Nothobranchius furzeri: one gene and its partner. The protein of the gene in region 2 interacts with the protein of the main gene of each other region in a biochemical or structural test. Links are inferred from orthologs where the notes say so. Each region holds a gene or a part of one and is shown on either strand. Other genes may lie near its edges.

What was found. The genes of interacting proteins can lie anywhere in the genome.
Region 1: of the proteins of card11 (region 2) and prkcq, one has a biochemical effect on the other in vitro, tested with the Homo sapiens proteins (2 studies listed by BioGRID). The link is inferred for Nothobranchius furzeri from reciprocal best matches to the Homo sapiens genes CARD11 and PRKCQ.

What each region holds. Positions count from the first base shown.
Region 1 is NC_091741.1:35,672,195-35,679,844, reverse strand, and holds part of prkcq (protein kinase C theta type), read left to right. Parts: intron 1-4,145; coding exon 4,146-4,345; intron 4,346-6,821; coding exon 6,822-6,882; intron 6,883-7,650. UniProt on the Homo sapiens protein: Calcium-independent, phospholipid- and diacylglycerol (DAG)-dependent serine/threonine-protein kinase that mediates non-redundant functions in T-cell receptor (TCR) signaling, including T-cells activation, proliferation, differentiation and survival, by mediating activation of multiple transcription factors such as NF-kappa-B, JUN, NFATC1 and NFATC2.
Region 2 is NC_091752.1:65,219,513-65,227,162, forward strand, and holds part of card11 (caspase recruitment domain-containing protein 11), read right to left. Parts: intron 6,544-7,650; exon of another isoform or gene 6,455-6,543; intron 4,695-6,454; exon of another isoform or gene 4,512-4,694; 5' UTR 4,502-4,511; coding exon 4,312-4,501; intron 3,555-4,311; coding exon 3,417-3,554; intron 3,228-3,416; coding exon 3,051-3,227; intron 734-3,050; coding exon 585-733; intron 494-584; coding exon 314-493; intron 1-313. UniProt on the Homo sapiens protein: Adapter protein that plays a key role in adaptive immune response by transducing the activation of NF-kappa-B downstream of T-cell receptor (TCR) and B-cell receptor (BCR) engagement.

The sequences.
Region 1 (7,650 bases), on a different chromosome or scaffold from region 2:
TCGAAACACGCGGATTCTTCCTGATGCAAGAGGTGAGGCTCCGCTTTGTTTTGGTTGTTTTGGCGTCGACATCATCCTCGCGCGCAACGTTCTGACACTCTTAAAAATAAAACAGTAAAAACTGTGAAAAACGCTGGCAACGAAGGGCTTTAGCGATCAGGAAACGGCTGGCATCAAATGAGTTAAGAAGCTGTACCGCCTTGAGTCACGTAAAAATGTGACTCAACGTGATACATGTGACAGCCCCATCTAGTGGACAACCTTTGTATCTGCGTATACCAGTAGTTATCGTCCATTTATCGTTATCGAGGTAAAATCCTCAATATGTTGATTTTAGACCATGTCGCCCAGCCCTAGTCCAGGGTGTCCTCCCACCTCTCGCCCAGTGACTCCTGGAGTTAGATACCAGCTCACTGCCAAACTATGGAATAAATATTTCAGTAGATGAATGGATGAATGTACTCTCAGTGGCCTAGTGGTAGAGAGTCCGCCCTTGGACTGGGAGATTGGACTTCAAATCCCAGTTGGACCACACCAAAGACCCATTGCCTCCTTGCAACACTCAGCTTTAATGGGTTGGATTGGGGGGTTAAACCACCAAATAGTTCCCAAGTGTGGCCACAGCTGCAGCTCACCACTCACCACGAGGATGGGTCAAATGCAGATATGAATGTTACCAGTGTGTGATGACTAATGGGACTTTAACTTTCCTAATTATCGTTATGACTTGATTACACATAAACAGAGTTGTAGGAGCCCTGAAAAGGTCTTTTTAGATAATGGCTAAAAAGAAACCTTGTTTTTTTGTGGAGTGGTTAAAAATGGTTTAATGAAAGTTTTATGCACATATTCCACACTTATTGTTGATTTTGTGCATATTGAGTTCCAGCACCACACAGGTCTGGCATAGTCACTAAAGTTGTTTGGGTTGTTTTCAGGTGGATTGACTCACACTTCCTAAGTCCTACTTACTTGTTTACTTACTAACTTCCTTACTCACCTAACTACTCGTAAACTCACCTGAACACTTTCTTATAGCTACTTAATTACTTACTTTTCAGTTTTATTTTTAACGCATCCGTTTATGAATGTTCAAAAGAGCAGAGCAAACTTTTTTTTTAAGTGAATGAAGTCTAAATGACACTCTGGGTCAAAACATCTTGAATGTTGCATGTGAAGGTTACTGTGTGATGCACAGAGGGCTTCTCTCTGAGCGCTTTACCAGACAGCAGCTGGCAGGGCTGATGGATGGGCAGGCGATGAGCCGATGATGGAGAAACCCGCAGGTCACTTTGAGAGGAAGAGCTTAGCTGGTTTTATTGTTGCAGTGCTGGGAGGCCATGTGGCTTTTATGCAAGCGGACCAAAAACGCTGCTGGGCTATAACCCTGTTTATCTGTCACTGGTTTGATGGATGAATTTTCAAAGTGTCAGAATGAGCTTGTGACTCGTGACCACACAAGTTTTTCATAAATTACATTCATAATTTGGTTTAAATGCCATGAAGTAAATAAAAAAATTACCACGATGCACCTGTTTCAGGAACTAGCAGAGTGCCACATCAGAGTTGAGCAGAACACGACAAGATTTGGAGTCTTACTTCCTGATATATGAACATCTCTCCACTGATTGGCTAACAGCAGCATGACTCTACCACCGACTCTGTTTGCTCTGCAACGTTGATGTTTTAACTCCACAAATAACACAAGCCTGGAGGAGTTCTGCTGTGTGTTGGAGTTGCTAATGCTAACGTTAGCTTCCACTAGCTGAAACGTTCTCTGCTGTTTCCTGGACGCTAAACCAACAACAGCCTTCCCCGTCGTGAGTCCATGAATGTTAAGTGGCAGTGTGACGTGGATCTGTCGGGCTTCTCTAATCCTAGAGTTTCATCAGAAGCTAAAGCAGGAGATAGGTGTAGGAGACTATTTTCATGTTCAGCCTGAATGAAAAACTCAGAGTGACCCGTTATGATCAGAAATAACAAAAAAAAAAAAAGTCAGTGTTCCACACCTTCAAGTGGAAAATATGTGAAAATTTTGTTTTAAACAAATCTGGACACTTAATCTTTTTATTTATATATATATATATATTTTTCGTTTTTAACTCATGCTGGTTGTTTTGGTCAAATTGTACAGAAGCATATCAGAGCAGGGAAAAATAAAGAACATTCTCTTGTATTAGAGAGAACATTTCTTTTATTATTTAAAGATAATAAAGCACATTACTAAGCATCTCATCAAAACAAGTTTAACATCTCGTAATAATGCGAACACTTGTAGGTAAAACGGCGACATTTCGCGGGATGTTTGCTCCTTTTGACAAGTTATTGCTTGTTTTCCACACTGATGGAAAAACACTTCTGTAATTATGGCAGTTTCTGTTTAGCAGAATATAAAATCTCGGTAACACTTAAGTTTAGGGAACACAAATTAACCATTAATTAGCTGCCAATTAAGAAACCTAGTGAACTACCAAGTCTGAACTAGTCATTATTAAGCACTTATTAACAGCTTATTACTAATGCCGTAATTCTAACATTAACAGGCCATGAATTAAGAGTTTTACAATAATAAGCCATTCATAATGGTTTGTTAACTGAAAGTAAATGGTTTGTTGCTGATTAACGTACTAATTAGCTCAAATCAATATGTGGCTTTTAAAGAAGTAATTCAGGGGAACATATTCTTGCCTTTCAGTGTTTAATTAATACAGAACTACTAGTAATTAGGTATGAACACAATCTGACTTTAGAATGGGGAACATGTTCTTGCTTTCAAGTGGTTAATTGATTGTGGCTCTATTATGTTTATGTTTATGTATTTAGCAGACGCTTTTGTCCAAAGCGACTTACAATTATAATCGGCATGTTGCCCTTGAGGTTAAAAACAACAATAACAACAACTTCTTGACATAAATCATGGAGAGGAGGGAACAAGGAGTGGACAGTAGAGAGGGGGGACGGGTGCAGGGAGGGTGCTAGTTTAGAAGATGCTCTCTGAAGAGCAGGGTCTTCAGGAGTTTCTTGAAAGTCGAAAAGGAAGCCGCTGCTCTGGTGGTGCTTGGAAGGTCATTCCACATTTGTGGAACGATGCATGAGAAGAGTCTGGATTGTCCTGAGCGTGGTGTAGGCACTGCTAGCCGACCATCCTGTGATGACCGGAGCGGCTGGGCCGAGACGTAAGCCTTTGCAAGAGGATTCAGGTAGATGGGAGCCGTACCATCTCGGACTTTGTATGCTAGTGTTAGCAATTTGAATTTGATGCGTGCTGCTAGCGGTAGCCAGTGGAGCTCAATGAACACAGAGGTGACGTGTGCTCTTTTTGGCTGATTGAAGACCAGACGCGCCGCTGCGTTCTGGACCATTTGAAGAGGTCTCACAGTACAGCCTGGAAGACCAGTTAGAAGAGCATTGCAGTAATCGAGGCGGGAGATGACAGTAGATTGCACCAGGAGCTGGGTGGCATGTTGTGTTAGGTATGGTCTGATCTTTCGTATGTTGTACAGCGCAAAGCGGCATGAACGAGCAACAGAGGCAACATGATCTTTAAAGGCCAGGTGTTCATCAATCACAACACCCAGATTTCTAACTGCCTTTGAAGGAGCCAGAGATAGGAAGTCATGTGAAGTTTGTTGTTCATGTACATAATACCAGAACATAATATTTTTGGTTATTAATGCAGAATAATGATTACCCCTGAATTACTTCTTTAAAAGCCACATATTGATTTGATCTAATTAGCATGTGCGTTATAATCAGCAACAAACCATTTACTTTCAGTTAACAACCCATTATGAATGGCTTATTGTGATAAAAAAAATCCTAATTTGTGGCCAGTTAATGTTAGAATTGTGGCATTAGTAATAAGCTGTTAATAAGTGCTTAATAATGACTAGTTCAGACTTAGTAGTCCACTAATATGCATATTAATTGGCAGCTAATTAATGGTTAATTTGTGTTCCCTAAACTAAAGTGTTACCTAGATTTTATTTGTGCTTGTTTTTACAGAAGTAGAAACAGAATATTTGTGTCTTTGGATTTAGATTTCTTTCATGTTTGTCTCTGTAGGTTTTACTGAAGTGAAAGTGAAATCTTAATTCCTGCCTTTTGCTGAGTTCTGACAGTAAGGACGAGCTTTCTCGTTGCAGACAAAGGTCAAGTGTACAAGCAGAAGAAGCCCACCATGTACCCACCGTGGAGCACCACCTTCGATGCCCACGTGCACCCCGGACGCATCATGCACGTGATGGTGAAAGACCGGACGGCAGAGCTGAAGTCGGAGGCCACAGTGGCTCTGGACTCACTCGCCACGCGCTGCAAGAAGGAGAACGGCAAGCTGGAGATCTGGGTTGGTGCAGCAGAATCTGAGTTTTTAACACATTTGATAAATCCAGATGGGTTTGCTCACGTTGGGATCAAAAGGTCAAATGATGAAAAGAGGGTAATCCTCATTTTAGGTATTAAAAGCAAACACATCATCACTTTATCTGCACTGCACAGACATAAAGAGGTTTAATCCACTATGTCAAGATCTGTCAACAACATGAGATTATTCAGACCTGGAAATCTGCCTTGACTTCCCTTTTCCTGTGAAACTAAGGACACCGAATGACTCAAGGATGATGATTCACTGTTGAATGACAAGAATTAAACTTCTAGTGAACAACCTACACAGCGATTTTAGGAAAATGTAAAGTGCATCCTTTTTTAACACCTTGTCAGGAATATTCAGGGGTCAGAAACCAATTCAGTTTATTTCTATTGTGCCAATTCACAGAACAGGTATGGATTCACGTTTTACTAAACGCCTTTAACCGGTTATTCACGCCCCCTAGGGGCTAGTTGTCTGGGGGGGTTAGCTGGAATCTAACCCCCCCAGACAACCCAACGATATCTCAGATTTATAATACCATACCATACCATAGTTTATTTATACAGCACGTTTAAAACGCAGCATGGGAGCTGTCTAAAGTGCAGCACAGGCTAAACCAAAACACAACCACTCTAAGCACCTAAAGCAGAAGATAAAAATACCGATCAAAAGCAGATAAAACATGAGGAATACCAACAACACAATAAAACACTAAAACGAGTCTGAAAGCCACGTCGTAGAAGTGGGTCTTTAAACGAGATTTAAAACCCGCCAGTGATGGAGCCTGCCAAACTATAATGGGTAACGAGTTCCACCGCTTTGAGGCAGCATGTACAAATGCTCGTTCACCCCGTGATTTGTATCTCATCCGGGGCGTGCACAGCAGCAGGAGGTCAGCCGACCTCAACGTGCACGTGGGTACATAGGGAGTGAGCAGGTCAGAGAGATGGGGAGGCGCCAGGTCGTTGAGTGCTTTAAATACAAAAGTCAATAACTTCAACTGTACTCGGAGAATGACAGGGAGCCAGTGAAGAGGTTCCAGGACAGGGGTAATACGGGTACGTTGGTACGTATTTGTCAAGAACCTGGCAGCAGCGTTCTGGGCGACCTGCAGCCGATTCAGGGCAGAGACCGGAACACCGACTAGGAGGGTGTTTGCATAGTCCAGGCGAGAGGTAATGAAGGCATGGATGACTGACTCAAAATGCCTCCGTTCCAAGATTGGTCTGAGGCGAGTCAGGCGGCAAAGCTGATAAAAGCAAGACCTCACTACGGAGTTTATCTGTGGGGCCATTGAGAGTTCAGCATCCAGCTTTACCCCGAGACTTGTCACACACTGTTTGGGGTTGAACGTTAAAAGGTCACAAACAGGGTGAGAGCCATGATGGTTGCGGGGGTCAAAAACAATAGACTCGGTCTTCCTTTCATTTAACTTTAAGAAATTGGATGCCAGCCAGCCCTTCACATCGTCTAAACATGCAGCCAATCGCGAGCCCGCAGTCTCCTCATCCATTGCTGCATATAATCGACAGTCATCAGCGTAAATGTGATAGCTCAGGCCGTGCTAATCTGAGTGATACAGAGGTGCTTCTGAGCAGACCAGAGCGTTCTTAACACACCACACACGGCAAGAGTACCTGATGAATTCTCTTGTTCTATGATATCTTAGAGTCAGTTAGCTCGTGAGCAGCTTAATGTTGCCTGATGTTGTTGTTGCCTTTAATTATTTCTGTTTTTTCTTTTCCTAACGGTGTATTAATGTTGTGTTCTGTTGCTGTAGTGTGGAAGAGGGACGTCAGATCTGATCACATGACAAATTCAATCTACAGATTCAACAAACCTTCAACCGTTAGAGCTGTTACAGAAGTCAGACTTATCTTTAGGATTGTCGGACGAAGAATCACGTCAATAATCTGCATAAATGTGTGGCCTGTGATCTGAATCTAACAACTTTAGCCTGTGGGAGGAAACTGGAATACCCCCCATGTGCTGGGGGAGAACCCAGGGGGCCACAGACGGGACTTGAACCTGCAACCTTCTTGCTGTGAGGCAACAGTGCTGCCACTGCTCTTCCTATTCTCACTCACTAACTATAATGTTTCAGATGAAGACAGGAGTCAGGCACCTCTATAAAGGTTGTGGAAAATCAACATTGTCAGCAATCGCACAGCTCACCTAACCAAGAGTCCAAAGTAAATTCTGTCAGCAGTAAAGCCTTTTCCTGTGGAGCTTGGCATTCGGTGCCTACCCGCAGCTGTCTTCTCTTTCTAACCCAGAATCAAACAAACATTGTAAATAGAGGACTAAAATCAGCTCCACGTTACTCCTTCTGTGGGTGTTTTCTTTTGCCAGCTGCTGGCTCTGTTTCAGCTCAGCATGAGCCACGTCCTTATCTTTTAGATTAAAGTTCTCTCTTATTTTTCTCATTCGTTTGCATTTTGTTTGGTTCCAGCTGGAGATGAAGCCACAGGGCCGCCTGCTGATGGAGGCCAAATACTATCTGGAGAAAAGTGGTGAGCGATGCAAACGAAATGTTGGTTTTATTCATATTCAGTGAAATTATTAGAGCTGACGTAATTTTGGTGTGAGATTTTTGTTTTGGAATATAGAAAAAGAATCTAAAGGAATTAGATCAAATGATGAAATATAGTGAGTGGGTTTGCACGCTGTTGACTAGCCTCCCTTATCCTACGTGTTCTCACATGGCAGATAAGACCTTTGACCTTCTCCCGCCTGCTGCCTCCAAGCATTGTGACTGGTCATTTGAGCTCTTTATTTTTTTCCACTGGTACTTTCCTGACATTAACATCAAGCCAAAGGTCTGAGAACTCCCAGCAGCTACAGAGAAGAAGCCCTTTCACTGCTCTATATTTAGCAGATCGGGAAATCGGTGCTGAGAAGACGAGCGCCGTGTGTCAGGAACTTCCTCCCACATCCAGATGTTTGCAGAAGTTGATAAAAACAGATGTGTTGCGTTACCCATCAGTGCTGCTGAGTGGATTTGGGGAAGATTTATTAACATAAACATCAACCTCCCAGTTCTAATTCCCCGAGCTAATGATATGCAGATGTGTGACAGTGTGATTTAAATGAGGAGCTTGTGTTTTAGATGAATTAGCAGTCTTGTTTTGTGATTTTGCTCAAACATCCTGAGAAGCGTGGCGTGGTAAAGATGGCTGACTCACAGAGGCATGCGTAGCGAGCACTTCTCACTCTGCTGAAGAAGGTGAGAGTCTGAAACCGTGGTGTGAAGGCGGATCACTGAAGCGGCGCCGTGCTGT
Region 2 (7,650 bases):
CTTGTTTTGTCGAGGCAGGATGGTAAGGAGTGTTCTAGTGATACGTTTCGGTCTGCAGGTTTTAATGTTATGGCTGGCTCATGGTTCTAATCAGCTTCAGCTCGCTCGCTCTCTCTCTCTCTCTCTCTCTCTCTCTCTCTCTCTCTCTCTCTCTCTCTCTCTCTCTCTCTCTCTCTCTCTCCCCCCTCACACACACACACACCGCTGGAGGTTTGTCTCGCCAAGCTGAAAGCAGATTGTGCTCATCTAACAGCAGCATTAGGAGACTAGTCTGAGACTTTTCCGAAGACTGAAGCTTCGGAGTTGGCTTCACCTGGATGATGGATTGCAGCTCCTGAAGTTTGATCTTAAGCATCTCGTTCTCTCTTTCCAGCTCAAAGATCTGCTCTCTCTTTGGCCGATTCTTGATGTCGTTCTTCAGCTTCAGACTCTGCCTCCTCTCCATCTTGCACTCCTCCTCCACCTTGTTCAGATTGTGCTTCAGCTGGTCGACCTGCAGAACCGAGAGAGCTCATTTCCTCACCTCCCAACTCCAACAAGTCCTTTAAATGTTAACGAGGTGTGTGCGTGAGCTGTGCTAGAACCTCCAGCTGCAGGTCCCGGCTCCTCATCACGGCCATGTTCTTCTCCTCGCTCAGCGTGGCGTACCTCATGGCCAGCTTGTAGTTTTCATCTTTTACTCTGAGGAGCTCGTCGCTGTAGGTGTTCCTCTCCTCTCTCAGCTTGTTGTACCCTGGATGAAAAACCATGAACGCAGTTTGGGAACTTTTGACATGAACGATTCAAGTTTATCTTGGAATTGTTGCCAAATCCTTGGTTTGAATCTTAATAGTTTGGCTCTGCTGTCAACCCGTGCTTCCTCTAAAAAGGCTGGGCAGCATTTGAACAGGTGAGTTTGGGTTTAGCCTTGCGGTGGTGAAGGGTAGTTGTATGCTAGGGTTTAAGGAATTCCAAAGTGAGGGGTCAGATCTGCTGAAATCGACTCCTCGTGGTGACCAGACCAGCAGGGGTTTGTGCAGGTTGGTGGTAGCTGAGAGAGCGTGTGAGAGGGTGTAGACACGTGAGCTGCGAGAGATATAATGGGGCTGCATGGTGGCGCAGTGGTTAGCACTGTTGCCTCGCAGCACGAAGGTTGCAGGTTCAAAACTCGGCTGTGGCCTTTCTGTGTGGAGTTGCGTGTTCTCCCCACGCATGCGTGGGTTTCCTCCGGGTACTCTGGTTTCCCCCACAGATCACAACATGCCCTATAGGTTATAAATTGTAAGTCGCTTCGGATAAAAGCGTCTGGCAAATAAATAAACATATAAGGGGGTGTGTTTGTAAATGGCCTCATATGTTAGGAGTAAATTTTATTGATAGCCAATGAAGCTGCTGGATACCAGGGCTGATTTTTGCGATGATGTGAGAACCAGGACCTAATCTCTGCAAGGCATCAGTGAGTGAGGAAGGTGGAATCATTGTAGATGCTGCAGCTGAAATATAAAATTGAGCATCATCAGCGTAACAGTAAAAACCGCTGTTGAAAGATTGAACCCAAAGTGGGCAGTCAAATTATGCTGCCCTCACAACACGTGTCTGTGTGCTGCTAGACAGCTAGCTAACCATGAAAGAAAACTCCACGCACAAGGCTTGTTTTTCTTGATTTAGTGAAGCTTTCTTACATTACACACAAATGATTGTTCGTTTGGTAACTGTAACATACAAAAAAAAGGAAAGGGCATTTACTAAATATGCATTATACTAAAACAGTTAGCTAGCCAGCACACATGACATTGCAGTGTAACGAACAGATAAAGAATCCAATGCAAATAATATTCCTAAAATCTCTGAAAGTTCTAAACAGGTGCTTAAAGAGCAAGTCACCACCAAATCACCTTTTTTTCTGATAAACTATAAGTGTGTGTCTAATTGTGCTGCAGACACGTGTAGTCAATAGGTTTGCACTTTAGTGCATTTTAGTTAAAACTTAAATTTTCTGCCTAAAACTGTCAGTGTTGTGCCGTTGTCAGGTAAAAACTCTTCACTGCAGTTGAATTTAAATCTGCCATCGCTATTGGCTAAGAGGTACCCTAGAACGTTAGCTGGTACCATATGATGTCACAATGTCGTTGTGAGCCTGTGTGTATTTGTTAGTGGCTCTGCCCTCTCGGTCTGCTAGGCAACAGCATACTCCTTAACATATATTTAACCAACTATGAACTCATGTAATTTTAACTAACTTATAAACCTTATAAATTATAACTGTTTTTGACCCAAAGACATGGCATAAATTATGAAGAGTAGGGGGCCGAGGACAGATCCTTGAGGAGCCACAGATACAGCACGAGTAGTAGTGGAGGTAAAATTGTTCAACTGAATTAATGATTTGAACCAATAGTTAATTAATTATGGGGAGAATGAAGTCCGAGACGGCTGACAACTCTCTCATCTTTATTAAGTCTTCCGTTTTCCCAATTTATTGTACTTTCTTGCCTTTTTATGCATGCTCAGAATGTTAGATTCTCTTTTTAGTAATTTCAGTAACAATTTGGTGGCCAACACCTACAGAGTTGTCTCATTTTTAATCCCACAGGAACTAAACAGAGAATTCTGGAAATCAGCAATGCCTATGAGGACGTTTGTTTCCCGTTCTATGATACTCGGAGTTCCTGCAACTCCTTAATTAGTTTTTTGATCAACTAAAAGAAATTACCAGTTTTGTCATTTGCATGACGACTATGTGAAAGGTCCACTGAGCCAAAACCATTCTCCTTATTTACAGCTTAGTTGTTTTATCGTCTGCAGAGATAAACAGAACAGGATGGATTCATAACCACAACAGTATCTTAGTTTCATCAGTTGCATTTTGTGATTAAAATTATTTTTAACTCAACTGTGATGCATGAGGAGGGATAAGCCTGGCCTGTCTGGTGGGGTCGTGGTTTGAAATGGTGTTTTTTTTGTTGTTGTTGTTGTTTGTTTTGTTTCTTGCATTTACTGTAATAAAATGTCCCAACCAGGAAAAAAACATCAGTCAGGAATCACGGCTAGAATGAAAGCAAATATCTTACTTTGCTGGAAGGCTTGAAGCTCCTGATTAGCCAAGGAGAGCTTCTTGCGCTCGTCTTCCAACGTGCGGGTCTTCCTGCTGAGTTCGGCGTTCTGAAGGGTCTTGACTTTGGTGTGCTGCTGCAGTTTCATCACCTCACTCATCAGAAACTGGGTCAGACCCTCTTGACCCTCCTCCACTGATTAGAAGAAACAGGAAACAGAAGGAGAACATGGGTGCATCACAGTTTGTGAGAAATGCACTTCTTAAAGCTAGAAATCTGACCCCAACCATTACCGGCGAGGCACCGCCAACACACGCTGCAACTGGTTTGATCTGTTACATGCTCTTAGATTGCTCTGTCAACCCAAAAGTGTGTGGGCCTTACCTACGATGGTGGAGAAGCATCTTGTGGGCTCTTTCCCAGTCACCACCTTGTACATCTCAGGGTAGTAAAACTCCAGACTCTCCAAGAAAGCCACATAGCCACGCTCTTCTTTAGTGCGAAGGATGTCAAGTAGACGGCCTGGTGCAAGTTTGATTAGTGCACTTTATATTCAGCACAGGAACACATCGAGTTAAAGACCAAGTTCACTTGTTTTTCAACACATTTGCAGCAGTCTCAAGTATAAATTAACGTCCCGTGAATCGATCTCTGTGGGGAAAAGCTCTCACACTCCTGTTTCAGGAAGTAGAAGTGAGCTAGAGGAGAGGTGAGCAGACGACGGTAGGGTTTGGAGACATATATCCCGATATTCTGACATCTCGCCTCTGATTGGCTAACAGATGTACAACTCTTCCACCGCCTTTGTTCGCTCTTCTTTCTGAGCTAAAACACGCAACGCTGATGTGTTGTTTCCTGATATTCTGACACCTCGCTTCTGATTGGCTACTGACGCTACCACCGACTCCGTTTACTGCAACACTGATGTTTTATCTCCACAAACAACACAAACCTGAATGATTTCTGCCATGTTGTGGAGTTGCTAATGCTAACGGTTAGCTTCTATTAGCCATAACACACTCTGCCCTCTCCTTGGCAGGAAATCGACACAGTCTTCCCCGTCGCAAGCTATGATGGGTGAGTCCATGATTGCTAATAGTCAGTATGACATGAATTAGCCTGGGTTTTCAAAGCCGAGCAGTTTTTTTTTTCTATTTTCAATCTGTTTCTCAGTGAACTTTGTCTTTAATTTAATGGCAGAAGTAGTTGAAATAAGTTAAAATCAAACCAGTGTTAACACAGCTTGTTTTAATGCAGGAAAATGGAGATTTCTGCTCACTTGTGCGGTTTGCTTTGGTGTGGAGCAGCAGGGAGTTGAGAATCTCATCCTCATCCTGTTCATCCAGGACTTTGCACTGACGGAGGTAGGGGGTAAGCTTGGCTGGGGTGATGACGCGACACAGCTCGTAGCGCTTACACTCCACTCTGTCCCACAGCACATCCATGTCCTCCACCGTCTCATTCTCCATCCCACACAACCTGAGAGTTGGTAAAGCCACCGATTCATTCAGCAGAATTGTCGTTGCATGCTAATGCTGCACAGGTGCTTCATGTTTACTGGTTTTTCACTCATGCTGAGGAAGTTCTCACTAACCCTTGCCGTTTCTTTTCATTTCCTAACGTTAATGTCCTTTGAGCACAAAAAAATGCACCTACAAAGCTTCCCATAGAAATAGTATTTAATATTTCATACGTCCCAGTTTTTTTGAATTTCATCCTTGGCTTCAGCCCTAACAAAATATAATAAAATATGTGTGTTCCTCAGATTTAACCCCTTTATTGCCAGGTTTATTATCATAACTAGAACTTTGAAAACTGTAAAAAAAAATCTAATCATTTTTGGTGTGTTATGTCCAGATGATCTTTTTTGTGGGTAAGTTGTCACAGCCTTGGAGTGTCACAATGTCATGGTCTGCGTCTGCGTCTCCCCTCATGTGTCTCCTTGTGTTCTCCGTCCCTCACTAGGTTCACCTTTTGTGTCTCCTAGCGCCCTCATGTGTCCTTGTCTGCGTCTTCCTCTTGTGTCTCCTGGTTTTCCCCATTTGCCCCCAGATCTTCAGCCCTCTAGGTTTCCCTCCTCAGGCATCCCCCTCCCAGGTCCTGTGCTCCCTTGGCCCCCTTTAGTCACGTCCCTGTAGTTTTTCTTTCTGTAGTGTTTTCCTGTAGTTTCAGCTTCCCCCTTAGAATATTAGTTATGTTTGCTGCCCTTCTGGTCTTTAGGGTTTTCCCTTAGGTCATTTTCCTTTAGCTACAGCTGTTCATGTTATTAGTCTCTTTAGTGTGTTTTTCCCATCGGTGTTTGAGGTTTTTCTCCCCCCTTAGATTATGTTTCCTACTCTTCTTGTCTTTAGGTTTTATTCTTAGGTCATGTTAGTTTCCTCCCTGATTAGTAACTCAGTTCACCTGGTCTCTCTCTCCCCACACACCTGCAGTTCATCTCCCTCTCATCCTCCCCAAGGTATAAAACCCTGTCTGTGTAACAGTGTTTGGTCAGTCCATTGTTGTCAGCGTTGTTTTGTTCCTTGTCTCTAGCTTTTGTGCTCTATGTGAGCTTTCATTCTCCAGGGTTTCAGGACATTGATTTTTGGCTTCCTGCCCTTTTGGAATTTTTTGTTCTACTTCCTAATAAAGGAATGTTTTCATTTACATCCACTCCTGCCTCATGTTGTTCTGGGTGTCTGCATTTTGGGTCCAAACCTCCTCCTGACTCGCAACGTGACACACAAATAAGCATAAAAATATTTTTGCTCACTTTGTAGTTTTTGTGTGATGTCATATTTTCTAAAATACGCACTGTTAAAGTCCTTTGAGCACAAAAAAATGCATTTACAAAGATAGCCAGTTGAACACTTATTTATAGCACAAGAACAAAGAAAAAGTGTGTGTGTGTGTGTGTGTGTGTGTGTGTGTGTGTGTGTGTGTGTGTGTGTGTGTGTGCATATATCTGTTAATGCTTATAAACTGTTATGGGAATTTGGGGTCATGTTGTAAAGCACTTTGAGTGGCAGTTTGCTTGAGAAGCGCTTTCTACATAAAATCTTATTGAGTGATTGATTGATAACTAATGAGGAGTCTTTCACATCACTGTGGAGATGTTTGTCTCTTACAGAGTTGTTGTAATTCAGCCACACTGGCAGCTCTTCCAGCATGAATGGCCTGTTTAAGGTCAAAGGTCACATGGTCAGATGTTCTGGATGTTCTGGTAGAGAACATACTTTATGGTTGCATCAGCTACGGCACATAAGATAAGATAAGACACATCTTTATTGTCATTGTCACTTTTTCCAGGTGCACTGCAAACGAAGGTGCGGTTGACTCACAAGCATAAAACCAATGAAATCAAAAAAGGGATAAAACCAGAATAAAAAGTCTGCAGGTATATACAGATTGCACATATTTTATAAAAGCTCTGTGCAGCTGACCTGTGGTCAGTGTTCCCATCTGCGTTGGTTATTCAGAAGCTGATCCTAAGACGGCTCTGTATCTTCTCTCAGATGGGAGCACTGCCCGGGCTGTAATGGATCCTCTGAGATGTCTGTTCCTCTCCTGCAGCAACGGGGGGGTGTAGATGTCTTTCAGAGTAGGAAGGGTGCAGCCAATTGTTCTCTCTGCTGCGCTGATGGTCCTGTGGAGTGCTTTCTTTTCCAAGGAAGTACAGCTGCCATTCCATACACACACAGTCCGTTTGTCAGTGTACTCTCTCCGGAACAACGGTAGATGGCAAGCAGCAGATTTGTGGGAAGGTGGTTCTTATTCAGGATTCTCAGAAAATACGACCTCTACTGCGCCTTCGTCACCAGCTCCTTGGTGTTTGCACTCCAAGTCAGGTCATCCTCCAACTTAATGTCTAGAAACCTCTCCATGCTGCCCTCCTCCCCAGGAAATCGATAACGAGCTCCTTCGTTTTCGTGGTGTTGTAGAGCAGATTATTGACTTTGCACCACTGACATTTGCTCGACCTCCTCTCTGTAGGAATGCTCACCCTCTTTGCTGGAGATTAGCCAGATCAACGTTGTGTCATCCACACACTTTATGATCTTGTTCCTCTCGTGGGTGGGGACGCAGTCATGTAGAGGGTCTAGAGGAGTGGGCTGAGCACACAGCCCTGTGGTGTCCTGGTCTTGAGACTCAGCTGCTGAGGTGTGGGGACCCAGCCTTGCCCTATGAGAGCAACCTGCCAGAATGTCCAGTATCCAATTGGATGTTGGTGATTTGAGACCCAGATCAGATAGTTTGGACACCAGTCGAGCTGAAATCCACAAAGAGCATTCTGGCATAGCTCCCCTGCTGCTCCAGGTGGGTCAGGGCAGTGTGAAGAGCCATGGCCACAGCGTCCTCTGCAGATCTCCTTGCTCGTAGGCAAATTGGAAGAGGTCCAAGTCTGCTGGCATGACTCAATGATGTGACTGCACCAGTTTCTCAAAGCACTTCATCACAACTGATGTGAGTGCTACTGGCCGGAAGTCACTCAGGCTGTTTTTCATGGGGTTTTTTGGGCAACGGAACAACGATGGAGGACTTTAAGCAAGATGGTACAATAGCCTGGGACAGGGATTGGTTGAAGATCCAGGTAAAGATTCCAGCCAGTTGATTTGCACAGTCCTTTAAAGAAAGTCAG